Linked DNA regions of Canis lupus familiaris. The protein of the gene in region 3 interacts with the protein of the main gene of each other region in a biochemical or structural test. Links are inferred from orthologs where the notes say so. Each region holds a gene or a part of one and is shown on either strand. Other genes may lie near its edges. The genes, in order: MAPK8, MAP2K4 and MAP3K1.

Region 1 (3,855 bases), on a different chromosome or scaffold from region 3:
TTGAGCGTCTGCCTTTGGCTCAGGGCGTGATCCCAGGTCCAGGGATCAAGTCCCACTTTGGGCTCCCTGCAAGGAGCCTGCTTCTCTACCTATGTCTCTGCCTCTCTCTCTCTCTCTCTCTCTCTCTCTCTCTCTCTCTGTCTCCCTCTCATGAATAAATAAATAAATCATAAATAAATAGGTAAGTATATGTATGTATGTATATATATTATATCGATACATATCCAGGAAATGCTTGTTAGCTATAGCTAACTTACTTCCAGTAAAGGAAATAATCTTCTTGTACTTTTATGTTTTATGTTTTAAAATCTTTTTTAAAAAAGATGTGCCAGGATATTGTTTGGAGTTTACAGTGAAAAGATAAGTAATTTTTATTAGGGCAGTAGTCTTTTAACCTTTTGGGCCATATATCCCTTTGAGATCCTCTCTCCAACAAAATGCAGTACAGACAGTTTTGCATGTTTTATCAGTATTATTCATACACAATCTAATGAGCCTTTTCAAAGCCAAGAGAAAAAAATTATTGATCACTAGAGGTAGCCAATACAGTATAGGCAGCTCGGCATGCAACTCTGTCTGCAACTGATTTGCTGTTTTGTTTCTCATAGCACAGGTGCAGCAGTGATCAATGGCTCTCAGCATCCATCGTCGTCATCATCTGTCAATGATGTGTCTTCAATGTCAACAGATCCAACTTTGGCCTCAGATACAGACAGCAGTTTAGAAGCATCAGCTGGACCTCTGGGCTGCTGTAGATGACTACTTGGGCCTTTGGGGGGTGGGGGGATGGGGAGTCATTTAGTCATTGATAGAACTACTTTGAAAACAATTCAGTGGTCTTATTTTTGAGTGATTTTTCAAAAATGTAGAATTCATTTTGTAGTAAAGTAGTTTATTTTTTTTAATTTCAAGTGATGTAATTTAAAACTTAAGTTGTGTTTTAAAACAGCAACAAAACTGTATTGTATTTTTGCTGTAATTAACTGTATAATGTAAACCTAATTATTTTATCATGGTTTAAAATTTTTGCATATTTGCTTTATCTTATGCTGCTGATTTTTTTTTTTTTTACTGAATTTCTAAGATTTTGTTTAAGCAACTATTATGTGGTGACTTGCCTATATCATGAATTATTTAAGATTTTATAGTTTTTTTAATTAGAATTTTATTTTAAATGTTTTGTTCATGATGCTATCCTTCAGGGTTATGTGCTTATCAATGAAATAACCCCAGAGGAGTGAGGGAAAATAACCTGTAGCCAGTTGTATTCAGGAATAACTACTGTAAATGATGAACGTGTTAAAAAACCTCCAATATTTGCTACTTGCCAATCCTAATTTAATTATAACAGTTGGTAGGCATCCTACAATTGTTCTTTGGCGAAAGTCCCATCATCTAAATGGCAGAATAACTTAGAGCATGTCTTTGAAGATGATGGGCGTCTACCCCCACCCTCCTATTCCCCAACCCCACACAACAAAAGTAAAGTAAAAAGAATATGGTATTTTTACAAATTTGTGGCATGCTCAAAGCTTATGATTACATAAAGTCAAGAGGATACTTCATGAATAATACATTTCAATGCAAATAAACAGATGGTTCACTTCTACTAGCTATGAGCCTGTTTTTGTACACAGAGTTAATCTACTCAGGCTGTAGGTCCCAGCAGTGGTCTAGAGTCTGGTCTTTCCCTTTCCTGCAGCCTCAGGCCCTTGGACCTTTCTGGTTTCCTATCACAGTGTCAGTCAGGGGAGCACCAGTTCTCAAGGTGTTTCTGGCCATTTGATTCTAACTGTAGCATAATCATATTTATACTAGCTGTTGGGAGGTTCCAAAGCCTACTTCAATTTCTGTAGGTGATGTATCAAATGAGCAATATACCGTTCATCTGAAAATAGTAGCACACAGCCATATATAGGATATCATTTTCTAAGGACTGTTTCTTCACATTGAGCAGAGCAGGCATAAGTAGTGGTTATTTAGTCTGAGTCTTTGTTTTTTTATACCTAATTTTCAATAAAACATGCAATGTGGATGTTGAGTAGTGTAAGAATGGTGCTGCTCCTATCAAGTGTATGTTAACTGTTTACATTTTATACCTGCAGAATTCTTTCTCCACAACAAATTTTTCTTAAGTAAATGCCATTGAGGTCTCTATCTCTGAAATACATTCTCTGTATTGCCCCCAGACATTTTTTGTTATTTTTGGAACAAGAAGGATTTCATGTAATGAAGTGGGAAATGCATATGTAAGTAAGTGACAAGATTCTAGGCAGAAAGTCCATGGGAATTAATGACCAACAGGAGCAAGAACTGGTACATCTCAATATGCAGTGTCTGAGAGTTCGCTTGGCATGTTCTTCATATATTTAGTGCAAAATGCCTTTTGAGTTAGGTATTTTAGGTTATTGTTAATGTGCAATATTTAGGATTAAAATACATTAGCCTTTTTGTATGCTTTGAAATAGCAAGTTTGTTTTTGATGGTTTCCAGTTGTGAGTTCTAGCCTCTTGAAGTTATCAACCTTTTTATCAATCCCTCTTCTACTCATACAACATGGTGTGTTAATTTTATTAATAAGCAAATTAGAGTTTTGAGAATGTTACACCTCGAGTTATAGAAACAATTGGATTTGCAATTTTAGTGGAAATTTGAGCATGAGTGTGTTCTTAGTTTATATTAGTTCGGCAGTTAATCAGCTTTATTTTCCCTAGGATAGATTATTTCACTGTTGCACTTTAACAACTGACATGCTTTCAGAGGTTTCTCATATTTTATGTTTGATTGCCAGTAAGCCATCTCTATTGATACAGATTAAGCAAGGAAAACCAGGTGTTCTTACTGTATCACTTGTTGTAAATGCCAGCTCCCCCTTGCCAGCCAGCATGTTTCAGTTGATCCAGAGAAAAGGAATTCTTATTAGTCAATGCAGACTAAAATTCTTAACAAATTCTATCCTGAAAACAGTCTGTTAAATGTTAGGTGCCCTAGGTTTTTAAAATACAATATCTAAATACAACTTTCCCTCATTACATAAATCTATTAAGCTAAAGATGTACTGGTTCTTTTTATTTTATAAACCTTTTGAACCTTTAAAACATCTTAAACATTGGTGTGGGGTTTTTTTTTTTTTTAAGAAATTGCAAATAAGATTTCTATTAAGCAGTACTTATGTAAAGCCACCTTCTCATAACTTTGGTTTTTCAACTTTATATATTTAATATACTCATCATCTTACTGTCAGAAAATCATTTTGATTAAGATTTATTATTAACTGTATTATTTTATTATTCAGCTTTATAGGAAAGAGACAGTAATTCTTTCTACATAGTTCTTCCTGGTTACTACTCTGTTACTTTCTAATCATTTGTAAAATGATTGTGGTGTTGGGATTGCTTAATTATATATATAAATAGAGCATCTCAACTCTTTCATACTGTTTGCTGAACAGTTCTCGTTTTGTCACACACCCTTGGCTGCTGATTATTCCTGGTGTGTACTCTTCCAGGTTGGCACAGTGCTTCACACCAGACTAAGAGAAATGCCAGCCTCTTAAATGAGGAGGCTCCCATATAGCCCCCTTTGTAGTATAGAGAAACTTGATGGTATGCAAAGCAGCAAACTTTCCCATAAGCCCTTGCGTTATTCTGTTCCATGTTAATCCTGTTTTGTCTAAAAAGATGAAGGTGAAGAGGACATCAGCTCATAGTGAGATCAGAGGTGGGCAAGTGAAACTGTTTCGGGGTTATAAACAAGACTTGGTTTACACTATCGGCCAGTATGTGCTACACATATGAAGATGTAACTACTCAGTGTTGCCTAGGCACAAGCCTGTACAACATTTTGAGATAAAGA
Region 2 (4,787 bases), on a different chromosome or scaffold from region 3:
TGTTCAGGAAAAAGAAAAAAAGATTTGTCCATGAATTCCCTAATACATGATACTCTCAAAGGAAGAGGGTACAAATGATATAAATGTTTTTGCAGTTCAGGTTGTCCTTGTGTCCAAGGGGACTTTTAAAAAAAGAAAGAGAAGGAAGGAAGGAAGGAAGGAAGGAAGGAAGGAAGGAAGGAAGGAAGGAAGGAAGGAAGGAAGGAAGGAAGGAAGGAAGGAAGGAAGGAAGGAGAAAAGAGAAAGAAGAGCGAGCTACTAAGTTTGGCAATAACTACATATCCTTTATATGTGGTTCAGCTAGCAACCAAGGTAATAGACATGGACCATGTTCAAGAATTAGTTTTGTACTAGCTTTCACTAGAAATTCTAGGAAATGAGGAAGGAGGTTCTTTTAAGAATGTTTCCTTGCCACCAGAGCTTTGACTAATTAAGAGGTACTAAGAGTTTCCTTCCTAAAAAAAAAAAAAAAAAAAAAAAAAGAGTTTCCTTCCTCAGTATAGCCCCCACTTGATGTTTCAGAGGAGGTAAAAAAGCTAGACTCTAAGCTGATGTCTGACAACAAATCTCATTATGAACACCAGTCTAATAAAATTAGCAAACACTATTCCCAGGCAAGTGAACTGTTACTTCAGTTTTTTATTGCTTTCAAGTTACAGGCGAAAGCCTAATCACATACACACACACCTCCACATTGCTCCCTTCTACACATCGATGTTTTAAAAATCACAATATATTTTCAGCATTCCTATTGTGAGACACACTGCCTTCTACAAATTTGTTACTGTTTGTAAATACAATGCATGTCAGACATCATGAGGAAAGGAAACAGCAAGAAGTGTGCCTTTGGGGGGAAGCATGAATATATTTGTAGTCTAATTAGGCTTGAATAAAAATTATTTTGTTATAATTATTAAAAACTACAAGATGATATATTCTGACCATTTTTTTAAAACACCTTCCACCATTTGCTTTATTGTTCTTGATACCAGAAGTAGGTAAAAATTATCTTTATGAACATGAGTATAAATGCAAACCCACTGGCTTTGACTTGTTTGTGTTCATGATAGGTTTTGGGGGGTAGTGGGGAGGCATCATTATTTAATACATCACTGCAGTTCAAGAGATCTACAAATATCATTCTGAAGGTATTATTTTAAAGTAACAGATGTTTCTAACACTTTGACCTTCAGCAAGATGCTAAAATATCATTTTTGTATTTTAATAAAAAATATTTAGGGAAAATACACACACACATAAATAAATATATATATATATATATATAAAATACATTTTAAAAGTAATCACTGACACCTATACACCAACATGTACATGTACTCTCAATTTACTGTGACATGGAAATCTTACAGGAATGTCATTTATCCAGAAAGGGTAAATGACACTCTACTTTATCACCTGGTAAGTGGGGATGATTTGTGCAGATCTACAGAGGAGAGTAATGTTTCCTAATTACCACTTACAATTTAACTGGAGATCCAGAAGGACAGGTCTAAACAATATTCTCAGAGTTCAGCAAGAGAAAAATTGAAAAAATTGAGCTGGATCTTCAGCTCTTTTCCCCTTCAAGTAAACTTTAACAAAGAAAATTGTGTTCACCTACTTCAGACCACAGAATCAATAGCTTTCTAATTAAGTTCAAGTAGTAATTATTTCAAAAGGCCCATAAAAGATCTCTTCTCAGCCTTTTGGCTAAGACCAAGTGTCAAACGGCCCATAAGACAATGGAAATACCAATTCCTTGACTTGGAAAAATTCATAAAATACAATAACTTTAAAACTTCTGCTTGAGTTGAGCCTTTTAGTTGATTACCAGGAATACTCACATGTGTGGGTTTTGAACTCCTGTAGGGTTGGGATTCAGAGTAAACCTTGCTGTAGATTTGAAAGGTGGATTTGCAAAATTCAACTTCAGTGCTTTGCGTTTACCTAAGAAATAACAAATAAAAAGTAAAAGTTTCAAGTACTATAAAACAGACACTAATCTGAGGGCATAAGAAATTCACACCAAAAAGCAGAAAAAATTTGTTTTAACATATAGTTAATATCATATTTTGAAAGGCAACAAAGAATTTCTCAGCTTTAAGATAAAGTAAATAAAAAGGATCTAAAGTTATTATTAACCACAAATCACCCATTATCTTCCAAATCAATAGAAAACAATGGTTCAGGTTTATATCGTTCAGAGATGCTAACACTTTTGCAAAAGAAAACACCACTATAAAAATCATTCACTTTGGCAGATACACTGAAAAATACTAAAATATTACCACCTTTCCAGGGTTACACTTCAACATCTTTATTTAATAAAAATAATTTTCCCTAAAATACAATATTAACAACTGAGTAAAGAATCTGAAGCAGTCTGCAATCATAACTAAAAAAAAAAAAAAAAAAAAAAAAGTCACGGCACTGCCAACCAAGTTCATAACACAGGTATTTCAAATAATCATTTATTTGGAGCCATTTCTTTGGGATAGGGAGTAGGGAGGGAAGGTAACAGTGTTTTATATTATACAAACAAAACTTGCCCGGTATAGAAAAGCCAGAAAATTCAGAAAAGATAAAAGACAATATAAATATACAAAATATTGTATATACTTTTTTTTTTACATTTCTAAGTCCAATTATCCCCAAATAATCATTGTCTCCTAGAAACTACTTTCTATGCATACACATTTTTTTCTCTACAATTCAAATCAGACCACAATATGTTTTTTAACATGCTTTACTCACTGACCATGTTTCTTCTATGTCTATAAATCTTATAAAAACATTTCTTTGGGATTTTACTGAATAGAGACTTTGTAACAGAATTGGGTTTTTAAGCACTGTAGTATATCTTTTTCCAGAATACACTCTTCACAGTTTATTATGCCTAATTCTACCTTCTCCAACAACACCTCTGCAATCCAAATACTTTCCCATCCCAGTGGATTTGGAATATGTATGAAGGGACTCATTCTGCTCAGCCTGGTGCTTTCAATGAGATTTGCAAGTTTGAGTGTGCCAAACATACCAGTTGGACAGGACTGTAGGATAAGAGCAGAAAGCTCCTGGCTGTGACTCCCGGATCGGCTCTCAGGGATGGGCCTGTCTACAGGATAATGAGAATTCCCAAGAAGACCAGACACATCATTTTCAGAAGTAAGAATATTACAACATGAATTTTCCATGTAACCCGCCCAATTCAGGTACCAAATATTTATTTTAAACTAAGTTTTATTTGGCAGCAAGTAGAGGAAGGGCATTCAACCTATACATGCAAAAGGTACTCTTCTTAAACAGCAAATTTGGCTCTACAAAAAAGCAAACTTTCGTAGCAAATTTGGCTGTATTAAAAAGCAAACTGTATATTACCAAAAAACAAAATCTAAAAAAACAAATTTTAAGTGAAAGCTGGGGAAAATCCTTCCAATACAAAATGAGAAGAACTTTAAATATATAAAGACATCACACAAATCAAGAAAAATAGAAAAATTGGCAAGGGTATGAACAGTAAAGCAAAACTGAGAAAAAATTATGAAAGGCATTCACTAACAACAAAACAGTTTAAAGTTTTGTTCATGTGAGGGGCCTCCTGGGTGGTTCAGTCTAAGCGTCTGCCTTCGCCTCAGGTCATGATCCTAGGGGTCCTGGGATTGAGTCCCACATCAAGCTCCGCTCCCAAGTGGGGAGTCTGTTTGGGATTCTCTCTCTCTGCCTCTGCCCTTTCCCAACCCCCCTCCCAGGCACCCGTTCTCTCTCTCTCAAATAAATCCATAAAATCTTTTTTAAAAAGTTTTGTTCACGCAAAATTGGCAAAACTTAGGTCTCATTTTATACATACAACAATTTTTTTCCAATGATAATGTGACCAGGTAAAAAAAAATCACTAGTACAAAATGTTGCTGGTAAAAAAGGAAATAGCATAATTTTTTCTGATTGAAGGTTCAGCAATATACAAGAAAAAACTTTTCATGAAGATGCTCTTTCACTTCTTAGAAATTTGTCTTCAGGAAATATTGAAAGTGCCCCCCTCAGCACCTGTCACCCATTCACCCCCAATAGACGGGATGAGCACTGGGTGTTATTCTGTATGTTGGCAAATTGAACACCAATAAAAAATAAAATTTAAAAAAAAAAAGGAAGAGCAAGCAACAACAACAACAAAATAAAAGGAAATATTGAACAGCAGAAGACCGTCCCCAGGCCCTGCAACTGAAAGGAAACTGCCCTGCTGGATTTGGAAACTCCTTGGAACTGCTGCCTCCTTTCTTCCTTCATTGTTCTCCTGTTTTGAATGGGTATCTCTAGAACTGGTTTCCAATGCCTGACCCCTGTGTTTTGGAACCAAGTAACCCGGTCTTGTTTCCAGTACAGAGGGAGAGGAATTTTATGTCACAATGGATCATACTCTGTCTCACTCATACCCGACTTGGATGATTTTGATGAGCAGAACTGATGGTGTCTAGATCAGACCTGGATTCAAGCTGATGCTATAATGAGCTATGGCTCTGGGGGAACACTGGAGCAGGGTGAATGTACGTACTTGGTACACGGGACAGATATGTACTGTAAGTGAGATATAAGTGAAAATGGTGGCCTTCAAAGATACCAGGTCCTAATCAATCCCTGGGACCTATGAATGTTACTTTATAGGGCAGAGTTTCTAGAGATAAAATTAAGGTAAGGACCTTTGTAATCATAAACCTGAATGAACTCAATGCCCACAAATCCCCCAAATCAAAAGGTGACCACCTTTCACGTGGTGTGTGAAAGGATCGTGA
Region 3 (4,787 bases):
GCACAGCATATCTTGTTCTTTCATGGGGCCAGCAAATTGATAGTTAGGGTTTTTTTTAAGTCACAAAAATAGGATAGAGTAATTATATCTACCAAACTCACAACAGTCTGTTCAATGGAGAGTAACACTGTAATTTTTCTTCAAAGACAATAAATAGGAAGAAAAAGTTCCTAATTCTGTAATAGAAGTTAAAATTCCAAACCCTTGGGCGCCACTTACAGGCACAAAACTTTCATTGATTTCAATTATTACCCTAAAGGAGAGGGGGACATAAAATCTTTTAATATGAGTATAACTTACATAATTTATACTCTGCAAATGTATTTTCTACATTTTCAGTTTCTACATCAAAGATAAAAAAAAACTGAAGTAAATTCTGAAATTAAAATAGAATTCTCTTTAAAAAGTACGGTAAGTCTTTAGGCAGAAGGGAGCTCCAGATCTATACTACTACTGAAACATAAAAATACTTCAAAATATCAGTGCTTTATTTTCCTCTAGGAAGTACAAAAGAAACTACTGTCAAGGACAGCCCAGGTGGCTCAGCGGTTTAGCGCCGCCTTCAGCCTAGGGTGTGATCCTGGAGTCCCAGGATCGAGTCCCACATCGGGCTCCCTGCATGGAGCCTGCTTCTCCCTCTGTCTGTGTCTCTGCCTCTCTCTCTCTCTCTCTCTCTCTCTGTTTCTCATGAATAAATAGATAAAATATTAAAAAAAAACTGTCAAAAAAGTAAAATGTAAAGTTTACTGAACTCTTTATAATCAAAGTATTCATACAAATAGGTGCAAATTAATTTCAATCCCACAGACAAGGAATGGAAGGAGAAATCACTGTATTTTCAAGATTAGAGAATCAACATTTTACTATAAATGAAGTCTGTAGGTATGACATTAGCATACTGGCTAATGAAATTCATTTTTTAAAAATGATAATGCTGATTACCTCATTAAACAAATAGCTCCTTTACAAAGAGGGGTAAAAAAAACCTGTGTTATAAAATGCAAAAACTAAGCGTGGGTTACTCCGTCCTGAATTCGATCTGCCTCCACCTTAGTCCTCTTATGGTGTGTGGTTGCCCTCACGAGAACAGATGCAATGTTATGCTCTAACATTATGCTCTAAAGTTGCTCTCACGAGAACAGACGCAATTAACTTTTAAAATTTAATGCCTAATATTTTTATCTGGAGCTCATTTGTACTATAAGTTGCCTTCAAAGAATTATTCTAGTGAGGTTTTAATTCAATCTTCACAGAAGTAGGAAAGTATAGAGAAACCTAACTCTTGTTAGACTAAGTTATATTTACAAGTGCACACAGTAAACTATCACAGCCACAAATCTCCTTTCCTCTCAAGATTGCCACGCCCCAGCGTTGACCATAATTTTTAGGGTTTCTTTTTTGGGGGGGGGGGGGTGCAACTTCCTGGTAATAAATGAACTGCGGTTTTAAATAAATAAAGAAATCGAGCTCAACAAAGTGCTAAAGCACTTCAGATAATTAACCCAAACCAAGGATTCGTATCGCCAAATTCGTCTCACAAGGGAAACAGATATAAGGCATAGTGTTTAAAATACCCAGAATAAAGGTCAGGAGACTCCACGGGGCAACGGTTAAGTATCACAAAAACATTTCCAGCAACTCGAAATACTCATCAGGACTATGCTGTGCAAACACTCCCCAGATTTCCTTTAAAAAAAAAAAAAAAAAAAAAAAAAAAAAGGATTACGGCTGTCACACTTAAGAATTTTCTTTAAAATAAAGATTTTTTTTTTTTTTTTTCAGTTGTACAGAAAGGGTCAGGCCTGGAACGGCGGGTCCTCTGGGTCGCACGTACCGTGAGGCACAGGCGCCGCCGCACTAGCGGGGCCCGGGGGCCGCCGGCGGGGAGCCCGCGCAGCCGCAGCCCGCAGGACGCCCCGCACCCGGGCCGCGGACCCCGGCCGCGCCGCACAGGCTGCGGGGAGCGGGCACCGCCGCGGGGCGACTGAATGGCTGACGCATCCGGTCCGGCTCTCGCACCGCTCGCCGAACGCACACTTCAAAGGCCAGATTCAAACTCCAAACCGAAGTCACTCAAATCTCAGTGGCGCTGTGCGCATTCCCAAGAACAGGCGGAGCCCCTCGAGGGCGCAGAGGGGAGACCCAAGTCCTCGGATATTCCGAGCCCCCGAGTCCGCAGCCCGCCCGCCCGCCCGCCCGCACCGCTTTGACAGGCGGACGGAGCCTGCAGCCCCGAGCCCCGCGCGGCCCGGCTGCCGGCGTCCGGGTCCCCGCCGGCCCGGTACCTGCCGAGGAGCTCCGCCTGTCAAGGTCGGGAGGACCTCACCGCGTCCCCCGCCGCCCCCCCGCCTCCCGGCCCCCGGCCCCCGGCCCCGGGCTGGGCTCCGCACCCACCCCGCCCCTTTCCGGGCCACCGCCAGCCTGCAGGCTCGGGCCTCAGCCCCCGCGATCCCGGGACTCTCGTCCAGGGCCGCCGCCGAGCTGCTGCCCGCCCCCCAGCCCAGCCCCGAGCGCAGCGCCGCGGTCCCGAGCCGGGTCACCTCGGGGAGTCCCGCGCCCCGGGCCCCGGGCCCCTCACCTCATCTCTACGGGTCCCCGCGGCGCGGCCCGCACGCCTGTCACATGTCCGCACACAATAACAAACTCTCCGGCGCGTCCCCGCCCCGGGTCCCCGGGCCGCCCCCCGGGCCGAGCCCCGGCCGCCGCCCGCCGCCGCCCGCCGCCGCCCGCCGCCGGAGGGGGTCGGAGGGGGTCCCCGAGGGCTCGGATCCCGACGGGCGGCGCGGGGCCCGGGCTTCATTCATTGCCTCGCCCGCCCGCCCCGCGGGGCCCCGCCGCGCCCCCGGCCGCGCTGCTCACCCGGCGGGGGCCGCTGCAGGAGGCGGCTCGGCGGCGGGCGTCCGCTTCTCCCCGGGCTCGGCCCCCGCGGGGCTCGGGGCGCCGCTGTCCGGGGCGGCCGCGGGCTCCGGAGGGCGGGCGCCGCCACGGCTCGCGGCTCCGTGCGGCTGCGGCGCCGCCAGAGGCTGGAAGGCGCTCCCGCCCGCCGCGGCGTCCGAGGGCTCCGGCGACGGGGAAGGGGAGGAGGACGGCGGCGAGGCGGCGAGGAAGAGCGGCGGCTCCGGCAGCTGGTCCAGCTCCACGCTCCGCACTTTGCGCAGCTGCCGCCGCCGCCAGTCAGCCCGCTCGCGGCCCCCGCTGCCCCCCTCCCGCAGCAGCCCCGCGGCTGCCGCGGGCGCGCTGCTCGCCTTGAGAGCCGCTCCGCCGCCGCCCGCCTCGGGGCTCGCCGCCCCGGCGCCCGGGAATCCCGACGACGAGGCGCGATTCCCCGCCGCCGCCGCCATTTTCTCTCGCGGGCTACATTCGCTCGGCCCCTGCGAGGGAGGGAGGGGGCGGGGAGAGCGCAGGGGGAGGGCGGGCCGGCGGGCGCTGCGCCGCTGGCGTAGGGCAGCCTGCGCCAACTGCGTGAGCGGGGCCCGCCGGGCGCTGGGCCCGGACGGCCGGGCGGGCGCACGGGGCCCGGCCGCGGGGGAGGAGCGGGGCCGGCGCCGAGCAGGTGGAGCGAGTGGGCCCGGCGCCCGCGCGGCCGGGCGAGGCGGGCGGGGACGCAGCCGCCGCAAAGGCGCCCTGGGCTTTGCGTGCCGCCCTCGCCCGGCCGCCAGGTGCTCCCGGGCTGCACCGGCGAGAGGAGGAGCCTCCGCGGCGGCCGTGCGCCGCTTCCTCTCGGCCGCAATCTCGGCCCGGCCGGTCGGGAGGTTGCGTTTCGAAATTCGGTGTGTTGGTGCGTCGGGCGGGTGCCGGCGAGAGGGCGTACGGCCTGTCATTCTCACCGCCCTTTGCAGGGGGCGTCGGGGAACCCGGGCGAGGACCGTCCCTCCACCCCCGACTCCGCGCGGGGCGCGCAGGTGGCGTCCAGGGTCGTTGCCTGGTGCAAAGCGAAAGAAACCCAGTGTTCAGCAGACGTGCAGCTGCAAACCAAAAAAATAAATAAAAAATGTGTGTGTTTTTCTTTTAAAGCTTTTCTCCCTTTTTGTCCTCCTCTCTCCCAACATATACAAATAAAACTTCACAGAGTTTCCTGGGATATCTTGTTTACAACCTGGAGTCAGCGATGGGGGACACCCTTCTCACCTCCTCCTCCGCCTCCGCTGGAGACACGCGAGGAGGAGCGGCAGTCTTTGTACATCTTTATTTTTTCCTGCGCTCTTTTTTTGGGAAAGGCTACGGTGTACAGGACCAACGGAGCGCGTTAGGGGGAAGGAACCTAGGCTGTGCCGGAAAGTGCTCGACAATGTCACCCTCGGCCAGGTTTCGGCCCTCCCCGAACCCAGTGCCCCTGGCGGCACGTCCCTCTTCCCGGCAGGGTCTGGCCACCGGCCGGGTTCCCCCCGCCCCCGCCCCCGCCCCCGCCCCCGCCCCCGAGTTGCCTAACGTGGCTTTCGGAGCCCGTCCAGTCCCCGGGGCAGTCTCGGCGCTAAGGTGCCTTGGAATGGGAAAAGCACCATTTACATGTTAATGACTTTCGACCTTTTTCTTCTGGCGAGTAGAGCTTCTTCTGTGAGGCGTTTATTTCTCCCCTCTCTTATTTTCCTCCAGCTGATTTGTGTGTTGGGGGGGGGGAGGCTCCTACAACTCGGGACACGCATCCCTAGATTTATTTTGCAAAATGTTAATCAAGACATGGGGATGGGTAGGAGGGAGGGGGAGGGTTCTTCACGAACAGAAAGAGGACTATCTTGTCAGTCTTCATAGAATTAGACATTAGGTCTGAACTCTGCAAAATAATTCAT

The links.
Region 1: of the proteins of MAP3K1 (region 3) and MAPK8, one has a biochemical effect on the other in vitro, tested with the Homo sapiens proteins (3 studies listed by BioGRID, with this or other methods). The link is inferred for Canis lupus familiaris from reciprocal best matches to the Homo sapiens genes MAP3K1 and MAPK8.
Region 2: of the proteins of MAP3K1 (region 3) and MAP2K4, one has a biochemical effect on the other in vitro, tested with the Homo sapiens proteins (7 studies listed by BioGRID and IntAct, with this or other methods). The link is inferred for Canis lupus familiaris from reciprocal best matches to the Homo sapiens genes MAP3K1 and MAP2K4.

The regions. Positions count from the first base shown.
Region 1 is NC_049249.1:547,458-551,312, forward strand, and holds part of MAPK8 (mitogen-activated protein kinase 8), read left to right. Parts: intron 1-608; coding exon of another isoform or gene 609-613; coding exon 614-759; 3' UTR 760-3,855. UniProt on the Homo sapiens protein: Serine/threonine-protein kinase involved in various processes such as cell proliferation, differentiation, migration, transformation and programmed cell death.
Region 2 is NC_049226.1:36,354,158-36,358,944, reverse strand, and holds the start of MAP2K4 (dual specificity mitogen-activated protein kinase kinase 4), read right to left. Parts: upstream 3,210-4,787; 5' UTR 3,195-3,209; coding exon 3,038-3,194; intron 1,948-3,037; coding exon 1,845-1,947; intron 1-1,844. UniProt on the Homo sapiens protein: Dual specificity protein kinase which acts as an essential component of the MAP kinase signal transduction pathway. Essential component of the stress-activated protein kinase/c-Jun N-terminal kinase (SAP/JNK) signaling pathway.
Region 3 is NC_049223.1:43,098,896-43,103,682, reverse strand, and holds the start of MAP3K1 (mitogen-activated protein kinase kinase kinase 1), read right to left. Parts: upstream 3,342-4,787; coding exon 2,860-3,341; intron 1-2,859. UniProt on the Homo sapiens protein: Component of a protein kinase signal transduction cascade. Activates the ERK and JNK kinase pathways by phosphorylation of MAP2K1 and MAP2K4. May phosphorylate the MAPK8/JNK1 kinase.